4 linked regions of the Schizosaccharomyces pombe genome follow. Changing the gene in region 1 together with any one later gene gives a genetic interaction. Each region holds a gene or a part of one and is shown in the gene's direction. Other genes may lie near its edges. The genes, in order: ubc13, sec28, pso2 and sum2.

Evidence for each region.
Region 2: mutations in ubc13 (region 1) and sec28 together harm fitness less than expected from each alone (positive genetic interaction), as found in Schizosaccharomyces pombe (one large-scale study listed by BioGRID).
Region 3: mutations in ubc13 (region 1) and pso2 impair growth when combined (synthetic growth defect), as found in Schizosaccharomyces pombe (one large-scale study listed by BioGRID).
Region 4: mutations in ubc13 (region 1) and sum2 together harm fitness less than expected from each alone (positive genetic interaction), as found in Schizosaccharomyces pombe (one large-scale study listed by BioGRID).

Annotation. Positions count from the first base shown.
Region 1 is NC_003424.3:5,286,680-5,289,776, reverse strand, and holds ubc13 (ubiquitin-conjugating enzyme Ubc13), read left to right. Parts: upstream 1-1,682; 5' UTR 1,683-1,695; coding exon 1,696-1,722; intron 1,723-1,764; coding exon 1,765-1,926; intron 1,927-2,078; coding exon 2,079-2,163; intron 2,164-2,220; coding exon 2,221-2,393; 3' UTR 2,394-2,597; downstream 2,598-3,097. Other genes in the region: SEA complex subunit Sea3, read right to left, coding at 1-1,385; csm1 (microtubule-site clamp monopolin complex subunit Csm1/Pcs1), read right to left, coding at 2,722-2,900, 2,956-3,097. UniProt on the Schizosaccharomyces pombe protein: Has a role in the DNA error-free postreplication repair (PRR) pathway. The ubc13/spm2 heterodimer catalyzes the synthesis of non-canonical poly-ubiquitin chains that are linked through 'Lys-63'.
Region 2 is NC_003423.3:2,325,531-2,329,016, forward strand, and holds sec28 (coatomer epsilon subunit protein), read left to right. Parts: upstream 1-1,943; 5' UTR 1,944-1,975; coding exon 1,976-2,006; exon of another isoform or gene 2,007-2,050; coding exon 2,051-2,886; 3' UTR 2,887-2,971; downstream 2,972-3,486. Other genes in the region: put2 (delta-1-pyrroline-5-carboxylate dehydrogenase), read left to right, coding at 1-1,372. UniProt on the Schizosaccharomyces pombe protein: The coatomer is a cytosolic protein complex that binds to dilysine motifs and reversibly associates with Golgi non-clathrin-coated vesicles, which further mediate biosynthetic protein transport from the ER, via the Golgi up to the trans Golgi network.
Region 3 is NC_003424.3:1,155,987-1,161,499, reverse strand, and holds pso2 (DNA 5' exonuclease), read left to right. Parts: upstream 1-2,017; 5' UTR 2,018-2,707; coding exon 2,708-4,390; 3' UTR 4,391-5,013; downstream 5,014-5,513. Other genes in the region: COP9/signalosome complex subunit Csn4, read left to right, coding at 148-1,281; protein mug103, read left to right, coding at 1,500-1,874. UniProt on the Schizosaccharomyces pombe protein: Required for DNA interstrand cross-link repair. This requires cleavage of cross-linked DNA to generate DNA double strand breaks (DSBs).
Region 4 is NC_003423.3:265,465-269,951, forward strand, and holds sum2 (translation initiation inhibitor), read left to right. Parts: upstream 1-1,991; 5' UTR 1,992-2,025; coding exon 2,026-2,078; exon of another isoform or gene 2,079-2,116; coding exon 2,117-2,175; exon of another isoform or gene 2,176-2,213; coding exon 2,214-2,395; exon of another isoform or gene 2,396-2,503; coding exon 2,504-3,490; 3' UTR 3,491-3,944; downstream 3,945-4,487. Other genes in the region: trm6 (translation initiation factor eIF-3 gamma subunit Gcd10), read left to right, coding at 1-4, 141-1,434; SPOM_SPBC800.14C (uncharacterized protein), read right to left, coding at 4,243-4,487. UniProt on the Schizosaccharomyces pombe protein: Required for G2/M phase checkpoint control.

The DNA of each region.
Region 1 (3,097 bases):
CTTGCTTTCCATACTGGAGAATCAGTGGTAATTAAATGCTCAGGCTCCTCTGTTGACTTTTCATAGTTCCAAAACTTAACTGTTCGATCCATAGCACAAGTTAATAGGCGAGTTTCACATGCTCTATTGAATTCAAGACCATTAATTTTAGTAATATTTTCGGAAGTTTTAATTGTATGAAGTGGGGCGGATCCATAACGATCGTCCCAAATCCTTACTAAACGTCCATGGCTAGAAGCAAGTATGTGGGGATTTTTATAATTCCATTTTACCTGAGTAGCTCCGTTATGCCAATCGTAAAAGGAGTTAACAGGAAATCGAGGACTACGCAAATCCCAACAGTGAACAGAGGAATCAATTGAACAAGTGGCAAGAACATCAGGATTTTGCCGATGCCAGTTCATATCTGTGACGGCGCGGGTGTGTCCATGTAACATAAATTCTATAGCACGATCATTTGGTAGTGCAAGGTTCCATACTATCGTTTTTTGACTTGATGTAGAAACCACCCATTGGTCTCTTGCGGCATGAACATTCCACTGAGTATCAGCAACTTCCCAAGGAGTAGAATGTCTTAGCATTCTTGGTGGATTATAAGGATTATCAAGATCTAAGACTAGTAAACCATAACGTGAAGCTAAAGCTATATCTCTACCACAAGGAGATAAAGACATAGCACCCACTGGTTGATTAACTTCAATTGATAATTGTCTATCAAACGTAGTACTATCAAAAGGGCCGTATTCCACATTGCTGTTAGAATTCGATGGTAACTGCAAGTCTTCATCTTCGGAAGGGATGATGACCGTGGAATCCATATTTCTTCGCAACCGACCAGAAACACCCTGAGAGTTAAAAGATATTCGACGAGATCCATAACTACCATCGTCAAAAGAAGAAGATGATATGGAAGTTAAACCTTGCAACCTTTGTGTCGGTGTTTGAGAATATGCAACAATGGTACTAGACCTTACACTTTCTGAAAAATTTGCAAAGGAGTTAGAAGCTTTTTTAATTAATATCTTAGAATCGTTTAGCTTATTGTCCAACGTTTCTGAGTGATCTTTAGAGATTGTTGACGATGAAGCTAGTTGATCACCGTCTTGTGCAGTGTTTGATTGAGCGCTTAGAGCAGTGGACGATTCATGGATCATTGATTCAAGACTGTCTTTCTCCAATTCAAAGTTGCATAATTCCCCGCTATCATCCATATTATAGTATGAAGATGGGTTTTCAGAATTAAATTGCTTATTGGGGTAATTCAAGGTACGTTCATCTTGAAGAGATTTCAATGAATGTTCATAATCAATAGGCGAAGAATTTTTTACAACCGAATCACTCGGAGGAGACTTTCTTGAAGAATCGTCTCCCTGTAATTCCCTCATCTTTTTCGATATGGGCCAGGTGACTGTAGCAATTTCAGGATTCTGAATCTTTTTTTTTATAAAAAAACAAATTAAATTTTATACAATATTATGAATATTAATAATAATAAACTAAGAAGCCATGGCTACTTGTCAATTGCTAATACTATTCTTAGCTAGAGCCGTGGAGATTTTATTATCACTCACTATTTGTATTATGTTTTACGTCACTCCTTATATAGAATAGTGTATCAATCTCTCCAGTTTCTCCTTAAACCAAGTACTTATTGTGTGTACAGCATGCATTCTAGGAAGTCCAAGTATATGAACAATGGCTTTGCCTAAGCGTATTATTAAGGTTTGCGCTTTCTGTTAGCATTTTTCAACTAATAATTGGTAGGAAATTGAAACCCTTACGAGAGATCCTCCACCCGGAATTGTAGCGGCTCCCACTGAAGATAATCTTCGCTATTTTAAAATTACTATGGAAGGGCCTCAGCAATCAGCTTATGAAGGTGGAAAATTTCACTTAGAGCTGTTTCTTCCTGATGAGTATCCAATGGTAGGTTTTTTTTGAAAACACAGTATTGAGCCTACCATGGTCCTTTTGCTAGCCCTGCTAGTTCAACAAAAATTTGAAGAATGGCATTGTCAGTTTCAAACTGTCTTCAAAAAATTGTATAATTGTGTAATTTGAGTTTTAACAACTATTAGATGCCTCCCAATGTTCGTTTTCTTACTAAAATTTATCATCCAAACGTTGATAAATTAGGTCGCATATGTTTATCTACGTTAAAAAGTATGTTAAACTTCACACGTTTCATCTTATTTTGGTGTACTAACATTAATAAATCAGAGGATTGGAGTCCTGCTTTACAAATTCGAACCGTGCTACTTTCGATACAGGCATTAATGGGTGCTCCCAACCCAGATGACCCTTTAGACAATGATGTTGCAAAGATTTGGAAAGAAAATGAGCCACAGGCAATTGCAAATGCCCGTGAATGGACGAAAAAGTATGCAGTTTGATTACTTATGATAGTCCAATGCTTATGGTTATCACTAGAATAATAATATATTACGATATCAATAGCTTTCTATATACAGTCTTTGATTTGAATTCTACCCATTTCCTTAAGTTTTTTGCATTCAATTTTTTCCTAAGCGGTTAAGGTCTTTTCGAATAAAAGATGTAAAAATTAATAATAGATAATTATGGTAGCAGAATACAAACATCGCAGCTTTTGACGGACGATGAAAAAAGTGATATCTCGACGAGCACAATTAATTTAAGATATAGTGCTATTCATATAACAAGGAAGTATTAAAGTTTAAGCAAAATCCATAGTTATTATTGTTAATCTTGCAAAGCTTTCATTAATCTAGCAGAAAATAATTTTCCTTGTTCTTTCGTAAAGATAATTTCCTCCAACAAATAGTCTGGTAAATGTTTCATAAGCTCCTCATCAGTTTGAACATTCAGACGTGGAGTAAATGTAAAGTTTTGATCATCTAACAAGAGCTGATATTCGAGTGCTATAATAATATCCTGTTAGCTTGAAATTATTTCTAAATCCCTTAAAGCACTTACTCCCTCTCCTTCCAGTGTTTTTACAGTTGAAACGATATCCATCCTCGTCCTCTATACAGTCTGCAACTTCTAATCCGAAAAGCTCCTTTATAAGTATATTAATTTTTGAATAGTTTTTTATTTGCTCTCGAGTTTTCAATAA
Region 2 (3,486 bases), on another chromosome or scaffold:
TGGAAAGAAGGTCTGGGAATCCTTACCTTTTGCTGACCGTTCTGCCATTTTCTTGAAGGCTGCTCATTTGATAAGCACCAAGTACCGTTACAAGCTCATGGCTGCTACAATGATTGGCCAGGGTAAGAACATCTGGCAAGCTGAAATTGACGCTGGAATGGAGATCATTGACTTCCTTCGCTTCAATACCAAGTATGCTAGTGAATTATATGCCAGCCAACCTCCCGAAAACACTCCTGGTGTCTGGAACCGTATGGAATATCGTCCTTTGGAAGGTTTCGTTTATGCCATTACTCCTTTCAACTTTACAGCTATTGCTGGTAACTTGGCTGCTGCCCCCCTTCTCATGGGCAACGTCGTTTTAATGAAGCCTTCTGACCATGCAGTCCTTTCTAGCTACATTGTTTACCAAATCTTCCGTGAAGCTGGTCTTCCCGCTGGAGCACTTCAATTTATCCCTGGTGACGCTGTTGAAGTCTCCAAGGTTTGTTTCAACCACCCTGAGTTTGCTGGTCTTCATTTTACTGGTAGCACAGCCGTCTTTCGTAGCCTTTGGGGAACAATTGGCGAGAATGTTGCCAACGGAAAATACCGCACTTACCCCAAAATCGTCGGTGAGACTGGTGGTAAGAACTTTCATCTTGTACATTCTTCCGCTGAAATTAAGAGTGCCGTTGTTAATGCTGTTCGTGCTGCTTTCGAATATCAAGGCCAAAAGTGCTCTGCCCTTTCTCGTCTTTACGTTTCTAAGTATGCTTGGGAAAATGGTTTCCGTGATGAGCTTACCAAACAGGTCAAGTCTCTTAAGGTCGGTGCTCCTTTAACTGATTTTGCTAATTTTGTGGGCCCTGTTATCCATCAAGCAAGCTTTAACAAACTGAAGAAGGTTCTTGAGAGTGCTGCTTCCGATTCTGAAATTGAAGTTTTGGCTGGCGGTAAAGCTGATGATTCCGAAGGTTTCTTTGTTGAACCTACCGTTTTACTTTCTAAAAACCCTAAACATGATATATTCGTTAACGAATTGTTCGGCCCCGTACTGTCTGTTTATGTATATGAGGATGACAACTTAGACGCTGTTTGCGATCTCATCGATACTACCACTCCTTATGGTTTAACCGGATCCATCTTCGCTCAGGACCGTGTTGTTGTCAGAAAGTTGACTGACCGTCTCCGTAATGCCGCTGGTAACTTCTATATCAATGATAAGTGTACTGGTGCTGTTGTTGGTGAACAACCTTTTGGTGGTGCTCGTGCCAGTGGTACTAACGATAAAGCTGGTAGCGGAATGATTCTGTCTCGATTCGTTTCTCCTCGCTCCATCAAAGATACGTTTGCTTATGCAGACTCTGTTTTATACCCTTCCAACTTTTAAGTTTGTTTTGGCCTTTTTGATTTGGATTTAATTTTTAGAATTTAGATAGACATTGGAGTTGTAGAGTGTTTTACTCTGTACTTTGATACTGCCATAAAAAAGACCACAACCTTTTTTTTTTTGGGTTTAGTACAATATGTGAGGAATAAAGGAAGTATATATATATATATATATTGATTAGTTACCTTGAGTTAAACTCAAACTTTCAAAGGTAGTCTAGGTTTTACAATTTTTTTTTTTCTTTTTTTTTAAAGCTCGCCATTTGTTATTCTAATAAATTATAATGTTCGCTTTGTTAACATGTATTGATTTATAACACTAGATTTGTTGCATTGTATATAAAAGCCAGTGGACCAAAATGTAGTTTGCTGGTGATTCTTGAATACAACAACGACCTGTAGAAAAAGGATCTCAATTATCGAACATTTTACTTGCTGACTGCGAAATATATTATATTAGGCTTCGGAGCAATTAGAAAAATTACAAGTCTTGATGGAAAGTTCGTTTGCTTTACATTTTGTTGTAGGGTTACTCATGTACAAACACCATTAACCCACATACTCTCTACTCCACACATCGCCCAACATAATTAAAACTTTTAACATGTTTTCATGGGAGGCTAGTTTATCTAATGGTAAGAGATGAGTTGGGAATTAAATAACAACTAATATTTGATAGAACTGTATTTTGTTCGTCAATACTTTTATAGTGGAAACTATACAAAGTTATTTGAAATTGACACGACATCCATGTCTGAAAAAGGTCTTGAATTGACCGAAATTTATATGGCAAGGGCAAAATTAGCTTTAGGTGAAAGTTTAGAATCAATCCAAAGTATTTTAACTCAAAAAACGCCTGGATCAGCTGCTATTCTGGCGCTGGCTGGGGAGGGGAACATGGAGTTAATTATTGACCAGCATGGCAATTCAGACAGTGTGGTACAAACATTAGGAGCTATTTTTCAAATTAAAAATGGTTCTTTTGATGATGCAATGGATTTATTAAAGAAGTCAGTAGAGAACTTGGAGGCGGTGGCGCTTCAAGTATACATTCATTTACGAGAGCACAAAATTGAAGCTGCTGAACAGACATTGAAACAGGCTTTGGATTGGGCTGATGAAGAAATTGTACTACAGCTGGCACAATCTTGGATTAAAATAGTTAGTGGAGGCGTCGAATCCTATAATGATGCATTTTATGTTTTTGAAGAGTTAAACGGAACTGATAGCAATCCAATGACTTTAACTGGTATGGCGTGTGCAGACATATGCTTGTTGAGACCTGAAGAGGCTTTGAGCTCGCTGAAAACTGCCCTCGATTCTCAACCAAATTACGAGGAGGCACTATCAAATATGACTACTGCAATCACGGATTTAGGCCCTGATGCTCCTTCTCAAGCCAAGAATATACTTTCATCTTTTACAAATTCTTCTACACTGAAGTTGAACGATCATTTAAATGAAAAGGCGCAAGAATTTGATACTTTTTCAACTCAATTTTTGAGTACGGCTTAATCCAATAATAATATTGTTTAGAATCTTCAATCCATTAATAAACTTCAAATGTTTGCATTTTTAGTATTTATTCATTGACTATTGCTTCACTCAAGTAATGGCTCGTTGATCTGTCTGGCAAAGCAAGTCAATCCAGTATTGCCTCGATAAATTTCAAGTTTACCAGAAGTAAAGGTATTAAACTAATTAATTAGAAATACTTAACCGCATGCAGAAGAAGACTCATGTAGACATAATAACAAGAAAACGCACCCGAATATATCTCGAAATGAAACATTTAAATGAACGCCGTCACAACAGGAGCGTCTTTAAACCGTTTACTTTTATTTATCAAATACATTCATTAATTAAAAATGAACTATTATGACTATCCACCTATATATTTGTTTTTAAAAATCTAGAATAGGTGGTTCTTGTCCAAAATTACTCAAAACCTGCAGTGCCACAAAATGACAAGCAACAAGTTTGCCTTTACAAATAGAAAAGAAAGATGTTTTGAAATACACAGGTGTTTGGAATTTGGAAAAAGCAAGAAAACCGATATTAAACGATAAGACTTTAAGAATCGAAGATGAACTTGCTCAAACGGCAGTGGCACCA
Region 3 (5,513 bases), 4.1 Mb from region 1:
TTATTAAATTACGATACTTTAATTAGTTGATTGCCATTAAGCTAGAGGTGCGAAACTTTGATTTTGCTACTCTTACCAAACTCACATTCAATGAAGAAAAGCCATTCACTCCCACCACTGAATTATTTCTCCCAATAAACCATCAAAATGGAAGAAGTAGTTCATTATTTCCTGGAAGGGAATATGCCGGTGGCACAGTTTCGAGAAGCATTAGCTTTGCATTATACAAATGAAAAAGAGCTATTTGAGCAAGCGAAGAGATGTTTAAATATTTGTTGCGGCAGCAACAACTTTGCAAAACGGAACGACGTTTTGTTTTCTTTACTTGATGTTGCAGTTAGCATTTCGTCTCTTGAGTTACGGAAAGAGTTAATATCTGAATTATATGTTCCAGTACAGTCGTTAGAGGAGGCACCTTCAGAATATTTGGTTTCCTGTTGTTTACAATTAGCCACTATTTATGAAGCTGAGCAAAATTTTGAGCTTTTATGTTCTTCATTGGAAGCTGTCGAAAAACATGGTCATTTTGAAAACGACCTAGAGCAACTCTTGTTATTAAGAATTCGTTTAGGAGATGCTTATTTAAAGTTAGGAAAAGCTGAAAAAGCAATTTTAACCGTAAGGACAAGTATACCATTGGCATTTAAAGTTAGTAATGATCAATTGCTAATGGAACTTCAACTTTGCAATGCTCGCGCTCTCGATGAAACAGGACAATTCCTAGAAGCTGCGAAATGTTACTATCGGGTACTTCAATATAAAGTACCTGGAAATGAACTAATTTATAGAGAGAACTTGTGTTCAGTAGCTCAATGTTTACTTCTAGCGATTCCTTCTCCTATTGTTTTGCAGTTCCTCCAAGAAATCTCTCTCCAACCATCCGTCCGAGAAATCCCGTTTTATTCTCTAGTCGAAAAGTACCTTAAAAGAAAGTTTATCGGAAAAGAGGACGGAGCCTTTCTGTTGCCTTTTCTACTTCCTCACCAAGTAATTCATATGAATAGATTGATAGAGGATGGTCGACATTTTTTGGAAACGAATATCCTTTTTCTTTCAGAGTTTTTTGAAGTTTCTTCTACATCTATACTTGCAAAACACTTTAAACTTTCTGAGGAACAGGTTGATACAGTTGTTGCTGATATGGTGATACAAGAACGATTGAATGCTTCAATCGATCAATGTGAAGGATACATTACTTTTTTGCCAGAGTATGGAAAAGCAAACAATCTTCCTAATTATGTTAATAAAATTGCAACCGTTCTTCAACATTACGGTTCTTAGACCAAATGTGAAAAAAAAAACTGTTTTATAGTTCATCTATTTTATTCATTTAAAATAATATTTATTGTATAATGTCATAGAAATATTGACGTTCTTATTTGTATCTTTTTCACCTCGTGGTCGCTAATGTTTGTTTACATTATAAGTAACTTCCCTCTCTGCCTGTTCTTATATTATTTACATGTGCTTGTAACTCCAATTCGCAGTACCAATTGGTAATGGAGCAATTTGAGATAATCAGAGAATCGGATGCTGATCCTTACTACTTTAATAAAAATCTTCGACTAGAAGAATGCGAAATTGACGGGTTTACATCAATTTATAAAGCTCCACCTCCATATTCTTTTGTCGCTGGTCTAAGTAAAAATACTTCTTCTAACAGTTTTGTAATCCACAAATGTCTTCCACCTTTGCAAAGGAACAATACAATTAGAAAAAGAAAGCGAAATCCTTTTCTAGCTGACAGACCTTATTGTATCAACAGTGAGGACATGCCTTTAAGTGATGACCGAGATATGTTAAAGGAACGACACGTCAAATCGCGAAAACTTTTATTAAAGGAAAAAGGAAATCGTTTTTACCGTAGAAGTTGATTTTTATAATTATTACCACCTGTTTCTAACTGTTTGTCTTAAAACTCCTTCGCATGTTGATGATTTGTTTTAAGGAGCTTGAGCGAAGACTACTTTATGCTTGCCAAGAGGGTTTTTTTTAAGTGTTTTGCCTTGAACTGTGCAATTGCAAGGCTTTTCAGTAACAGGCCTTATTGCCATTGTAGGCCATTAAGAAAGTAAAAGGAAAAAAAATTAAAATCATTAAGGAACGCTAAGCTGCAGTGAAAGTATATTTCTCACTAGCTTCTCCAAATCGAAGTTTTTTGTAAATAAAACGCATTTTCGTGAATAATCGATGCTTTTTTTTTAAGGTGTTTTTTTCTTTTTTTTTCATTACTTCAATTTTCAGTTATTACCCTTCCTTAGGTATACTTCTTTTTTTTACATTTTAGACCAGATCCTGACCGACCAATTTTGGATCATCCAGCGTCACATAATAATTCATCCATAACACTTTTTAATACTTTGAAATTTATAGTTAGAGGTAAAGTTTCTAAATCTGTTTCCTTTGTTTTTTCGTTTTGATCTTTCAAAGGCATACCTAATATTCTACGACTTCTCATACACATTGTACATTAGAAAAAGTCGCTCTTGACGTCTACTCGCCGTTTCCTTAACTTCAAGACTTCTTTTAAGCGATTCTTGCGGATTTATCGTGTCTTTCCTCGAATAATAGCTTTCATTATTAAGCTAAACGAAACTTTACAACTTTTGAAATAACTTCCTTTAAAAGAATTCAATCACTTACTGTTGTTGCTTATACACCAAAAAACAAAAAACTAATAATTTTGCCTTTGTTTACGTTCACTGAAATGAGTAAACGAAAGTCATCGTCTATTTTAGATTTTTTTAAAAAATCTAATAATGGCAAAAACATGTGGGGTAATGAAGCTGTTTCTGTTGAAAAAACTGATTCCACCACCAAGCCCTCTACAGTAAAAAATGCAATTTCAAGTTCCCAAATAAAAAATGAGAAATTCTCACAGGAAGTCTTATTACAATTCAATGATCCAAGTTTCACTTCTGAAGTGGGTGAGTCTCCTCAATGGCAATCTTTTGGGGATGCTAACATCTTAGAACCTTTAAAAAATGAGCTGGTTAAAAACGAGGAGTCAACCATGTCTGAATTGCTTCTTTGTCCAATATGTGGAATAACTTTGGAGTCTTTAACTGTCGATGCCAATATACATGTCAATGACTGCCTAGACGGGAGAACAACGGAAGCTGTTTCAAAAAAGCTGAAGAAAGACTCTGTCGTTAAAGCCGATCCTTCGAATTCGAGTACATTCCCAATATCTGATTCCTGTAAACAGGCGTTATTACCTTTACCTGGAAAGCAAATTAATGTTCGGTCTGTTGTTCCTTTCTATAAATTAATGCCTTATAATATTCCTTTTGCCGTTGACGCATTTGCTTACGGTGCCATTGATGGTGTTGAAGCTTATTTTTTGTCACACTTTCATTCTGATCACTATGGCGGTTTAACTCCAAAATGGAAGCACGGTCCTATTTACTGTTCAGAAGTAACAGGAAATCTTTTAATAAATGTCATGCATGTTGATGAACAATATGTGAAGCGTCTCAAACTAAATCAACCATATAATATAATGGGTATTACTGTATATGTTTTGGATGCTAATCATTGTCCAGGATCAGCTATGTTTGTTTTTGAAACGCTTCAGAGTAATCAAACAAGACGTGTTCTTCACTGTGGAGATTTCCGCGCTTCTAAGGATCACGTTATGCATCCTGTTTTACGAGAGAAGACCATTCATAAAGTTTATTTGGACACTACATACTTGAATCCTAAATATACTTTTCCACCCCAAGCGGATGTTGTTCAAGCTTGCGCCGACAAAGCAATATCTATCAAGAAGTCAACAGATTCTAGGCTTTTGGTAGTAGTTAGCACTTATAGCATCGGGAAAGAAAAAGTAGCCGTTGCTATTGCAAAATCTCTTTCTTCACGGATTTATGTGGTTCCTCGAAAAATGCATATTATTAAACAACTTGAAAATCAAGATTTAATAGATTTATTAACGGATGATCCTACGCAAGCTTCCGTACATATGGTCACTATGATGGGAATACATCCGAATTCGCTTCTTGACTATTTGGAACAATACAATAGTTCCTTTGATAAGATCATAGGGTACAAAGTTACTGGCTGGACATTTCAACCCTTGGAAAATCGTGCACAACTTAGCAGTAGCTTAGACTCGATAATTTCCAGACCACCGAAATTTGTGGAATACGATTTAAGAGCGATTAGAGGAAGCACCGACAAAGTGGCAGCTTTTGTAGCCCCTTACAGTGAACACTCGAGCTTTTATGATTTAACTATGTTTTGTCTGTCGATGAACATTGGACATATTATCCCAACTGTAAATGTGGGTAGTCAACGGTCTCGTGAAAAGATGAATGTATGGCTAGATCGTTGGGCTTGGCGCCGAAAGAAACAAGGCCTACTTTCATTGGAAAATGTGGATTGGTAAACCAAAATCTACCACAATAATTTTCCTTTCTGTTTCTTTTAGGGTTATACGAGCTTGTCTGTAGCTATTATTTATGGTTCTTATAATTAATGTTAATGTGAGCAAAATGTTTTTGTATGTATGCTTTACTATGCCAATCCTTTATCCTTCTATATTTTATTTTTTTTTTTAGTTTCAGGAGTGCTAATACAAGATTATACAAAAAAATGACACCAAAGTGTAGGTGTATATTCATTTAAATCAAACTATGAGCTTGCAAATAATCCAAAACTTTTAAACTTTCTTTGAGCTTCGTTTTTTTATGATCGAATACTTAACATTAGTTCATTTAGGCTAATTTTCTATTTTTTTTAATTATAATAATAGAGCAATCTACAACGAATTGTCATCAAATAAACACCTTTCATTATAAAACACATCATCAATTTTTTTTCTAATTTTTTTGTAATAGCATTCGCCATTGATGAACGATGAACCTTAGTATAAAAAATTCTCATAAAACATTGCCCCGAGAGTTGAAACATCATAGGCGAAGGAGCTCAAGATTCAAATTTCCACTACAGAGAAACAACGAAAATAATTTAATGGAAAAAAAATCAAGCTACTCATAAATAACCAAAAAAAAATTCCAACAGTCCAGCAAAGGGTGTTAAGAGAGAAGAAAAATAAAATAAAATAAAAAAATATATAACAAAATTATAAAAAGTAATAACAAAAAGACAGTAAAAAATGATTGAAATATGAAATATTGTTGGGATTTATGGAAGCCTAGTCAACAAAAGACTGACTAAAACAAAGTTATTGTAGTTGAATACAGATAAAGATATGAAATTATCAATAAATAATTTCTTCCCAATGAATCTATAGGTAATTAATACCCGTAATTAACAGATTTAGCAAGTCATAAAATTCTCCCACTCCAAAAGGTGGCATAAAATAAACTAGGATCCAAAATAAATAGCAACATAACTTTGATAATAGCAGTATAGAAATTTGATATCCAATATAACTCAAAGATGGAAAGCATGAATGCCTATCAGTCCAGAGTATATATGAATTATGCGATGAGTCTTGATGTTGTTCGTTTCAAACAAAACAAAATATCGAAAAAAAATAGTTAAAA
Region 4 (4,487 bases), on another chromosome or scaffold:
ACAAGTAAGTATGAGGATCTTAATTTACAATTTAAAGTACATTTTCAATGATAGCAATTGAAATTGTTTTTTGCATAAGGAGATAGAGGTGATCTAGTTTATCTCGTTCATATTGATCTTACTGACTTTATATTAAATAGTACAATTCACCTCGGAAAATTTGGTTCATTTCTCGCTGATGATTTGTTTGGAAAGCATTTTGACGAAACTTTTGAAATTTATCAACCCAAAAAAATTCGAGTTTTAAAAACAAGGGAGGTACAGTATATCGAGGAAGAAAAGAAAACGAATCAAGAACTTAATGATTGTCGAGGCAATCAGCTTATGACTCAAGAGGAGATTGATGAACTGCGCGCAAACATTAAAGCTGGTGGACTTCGTGCTGAAGAGGCCATCAAACAGTTGACTAATAGTAGTAAAACTTTTGAGCAAAAAACTTTATTTGCTCAGGAGAAATATGTTACGAGAAAAGGGGAAAAGTATCTTCAACGCTTTCAGGTTTTACGACCTTGTGTTGAAGTTGTGGCTAATTACATGATTGAACATGATCCGTATAAGATACTTGATCTTACTGCCGAGTGTATAAGCTTGATGCTTACTCTTGGAAATGTTAAACCTGGGGGTAGATATTTGGTAGTTGATGAGACTGGATGCATGTTCCTTGGTTCTCTTATTGACCGTGTTGCTGGTGATTGCAAAATAACCCTGGTCCATCCAAATGAGCAACCTAATAGCTCTTGTTTAGAGTATTGGGGGCAAGACTTTAAAGAGGATAGTTTGGTTCAAAAAGGGATTTTGAAAACTTTGAATTGGTATCAAGTTACGAATCCAACCGAGACTTTAAGTGAGTATTCGGTTGAAGATATTCCTGAATCAGAGTTGAATGAGATGAAACTTCGCCACCGTAAGCGCTATGAAACGAAGAAAGCTACATTTAACCGTTTGAAGAATACTATTGATGATTTTGAAAGTGGTAACTATGATGCTCTCTTTATACTATCTATTCACACCCCAATGTCTGTTCTTCAACATCTTCTTCCAAAGCTCGGTATATCACGTCCTTTCATGGTATACTCAACATATCAGCAAGTCTTAGTCGAGACGTATCATCAATTATCTAAATGGGATAACTTATTTGTAGAAAAGACAGCTCAAAGTACTGAAAATGACGAAAAGGTTGATCAAGGAGACGTTGCTATTGATACACAGAAAGAGAAAGTCATCATGCTGGATATTCATGAGATTCGTACACGACCTTACCAAGTCTTGCCAGAAAGGACTCATCCATTCATGACTGTTAGGGGTGATATGGGTTTCGTTTTATCTGGGATCAAGGTGTTAACTTCTGACAGCAATCTAGCTGCCGGAAGGTTTCCAAAACGTAAGGGCCAGAAAGAAACTTCTTCTGTCAAAAAAGCAAAATTGGAAAATTAGATATGAAATATTACTTTTGGAATATTTTTTTCAAGGCTACTCTATTAGATCAACAAGGGGAGTTACAATTTTGGACATAAACTCAGTTACGTTGAATTGGGAAAAGGTTTTTGTTATATTAAAAAGTTTTTTGTTTCATTCTTTAACTTAAAATTTTCATACGTATCAGAAAATGAATATGTTAGTTGGATAATGTAATTGACGGTGCGGTTTCAGGTTAACTCAATTTTGAAGAGCGTTAAAGTACAGTGTCTTTTGCTTGGCATTTTCATTCTTTTTAAAAATAGATTACTTGTAATAAGTATAAAATTAGTTACAATTTGACTGCTGCACATATACGTATTTAAGTAAAATAAGTAGTACATGGTCAGAGCAGCTGTGGATAGCCTTTTTGATCTTAAGCATGTTAATTTTAAATAAATATAAAAACTGATGAAAAAACAGCTTATAAATGACAATGTCGCATTTTGGTCTTATTTACTCGGTATAATGAACCCCATACTAGCGCTATCGCCAAGTTCGTTAATTTCGAAAGGACACCTAACCACGCTCCTTTCACCACTAAGCTTTACTTCGTCGAGTTTATAACCAATGACTGAATTTATTGGTTCTCGTATTAGTCTAATTAGCAAATCTGACATTCGGTACGTGAGAGCATTATCTTTCCTTTACTAATATTTAGTTATGTGGGCATTTTGCAGGACATCAATTCCCAGGACTCAACACTGGCTTTGAAGCATGGTAGGTTGAGTACCCAGCATTGATTACTAACAGTTTAGTCCGTTGGTGTGGTACTGAAGGAAGAAAACAAGATCCCTCTCAAGAAATCCCCCCATCAGATAATGTATTTGATTACATTGTTTTTCGTGGAAGCGATGTTAAAGATTTACGGATTGAGGAACCTGCTACTACTCCTTCTGCTCCCCCGGTTCAACCTCCTAATGATCCTGCAATTATTGGGGTATGTTACGTCTAAAGAGTGGTGGAGATTCTCATTAGTATATCTAGTATTAATTATCTTTGGCACTCTTTATATATCTGACAAGATCATGATTTTAACTATAATTAGTCTAATAGCGGGCAGTATAATTGGAACCAAGCGCAGACTGCCCAACCTCCTCAGCCTGTTCAACCTAACCCTTATGGAGCTCCATACCAACAGGCTCCTCCAGCAGGTGCACCTTACTATATGTACCCGAATGCTCCCGCTCAATTTGTACCTCCTGGAGGTTTGCCTTTGGGTACTCCCTTAGACGCATCCACACCTGCGGTCCCGTATTATGGGGCACCTGATCAACAGCAAATGGGTCAACGTCCTGAGTTTGCTCAAAATGTTTCTCAAGGGTTTGCCGGTCAGGCCCCGTACAACGTACGTCCTGGATACGGAATGCCTTCAAACCAGAAGCCTCCCAACTTTGCTCCGGGCATGCCTGCTCCTGGTCCTACCGCGGTATCTGCATCTCCGTCTCTTCAATCCATGCCGCCCACGAATGGAGTGATACCAGGTGCACAGCCCTCCATTGAAGCATCTATTGAAAAAGAAAGTACTAGTATACGGAATTCCACTGTCACAAATGACCGTGTTGTGAATACTACTGTGGATGTCTCTCAATCCCAAACCGTTGAAACATCTGGACCTTCTAAAGAAGTTCCTACAACTCAACCTGATGCTAGTGCTGCAAAGCCTCGTACCGAATTTGACTTTCAAACTGCAAATCAAAAGTTTCAATCGATGAAAGATGATTTGTTAAAAGGAAAAAATGATGAAGAAGCCGAAGAATTTTACAAGCCTAAGCAATCTTTTTTTGATAATATTAGTTGTGAAAGTAAAGAGAAGGGTATGGAAGCTGCAGATAGAAGAGCTCTACGAGATCGCGAACGTTCTTTGAACATGGAGACATTTGGCGTTGCTGGCTCTGGAAATCGCGGCCGTCGTGGACGTGGTCGTGGACGTGGTGGTAGAGGTCGTGGACGTGGATATGCAAGAAATCAATATAACCAATACAGGAATTCCAATGGCTCTCAACCTAGAGCCCAGCCTGCAAACGACCAATGAACTGCATTTCTTATAATGAGTACAGATGAAGTATCCTCGTTTCTCTAGATTGAGCTTCGTCTTCGTTTCAATCATGATGAACTCAAAATTTATGGACATGTATTTAACGACCCGAAAAAAGGTGTTCTCTTATATAAACCAAAAGGATTAGTCGTTGTTATTTGATATTTAACTTAGGAGTTTTGTTAAGTTCTTGTAGAGTGCTTTAAAAACTATACTTATCTGCTCATGTATTACGCAAGAAGAACAAGCATTGAAACGATATCCTATACCGAGATTTCGTAAAGGTATTACGAATAAATGTTAATGGGTTACATATAATTACCAAAAGGTTGAAGACTTAACCAATCCGCTAATGTTTATTCTTTTATACACCTTGATAGACCCAAAGCATCGCTGGTTGCATGACTGAACATTGAACAACCCGTGTTTTTCAACAGTCGTTTCGTTTTTGAAAAGCGTTTTGTAAAAATTTGATTCAGTCGACTTGTTTGAAGCTGACAAACTATAGAATCCAAACAACAATGTTTGAGCAGTATGAACAATTTATAAGCGAATCGTTTTAAAAATAAAAATGTGCTCTCTTAATTTTAGCATTTTTTAATAGTTTAAATTTCACGAACTTAACTACGTGATATAGTGTTTTAATAATCAGCAGTAGAAAAATTAGAACTTAATATTATTTGATCATCAACGAATATCGGAACGCAAGAGTTAACACGTAAACGATACATTACAATTATGTTTTGTTATCAAAAGTAAATTGATCCAGCGATTGAAGCTAAACCAGAGAAAAACATAAATGCGCTTCGAAATAAGTTTTTAAAACCCCATCTGTGAATTATACTGCGGAAATTTTGAGTAGCCTTTACATCTTTAAGTATTAGATCTGGATTTAACGTTTGTAAAGAGTTAATGTCCTTTTTCATAAACAAAAGCGTGAAAGGAATAATACATAGTCCAGATAAAGCCGATATAGCATACAATTTTGAAGAGA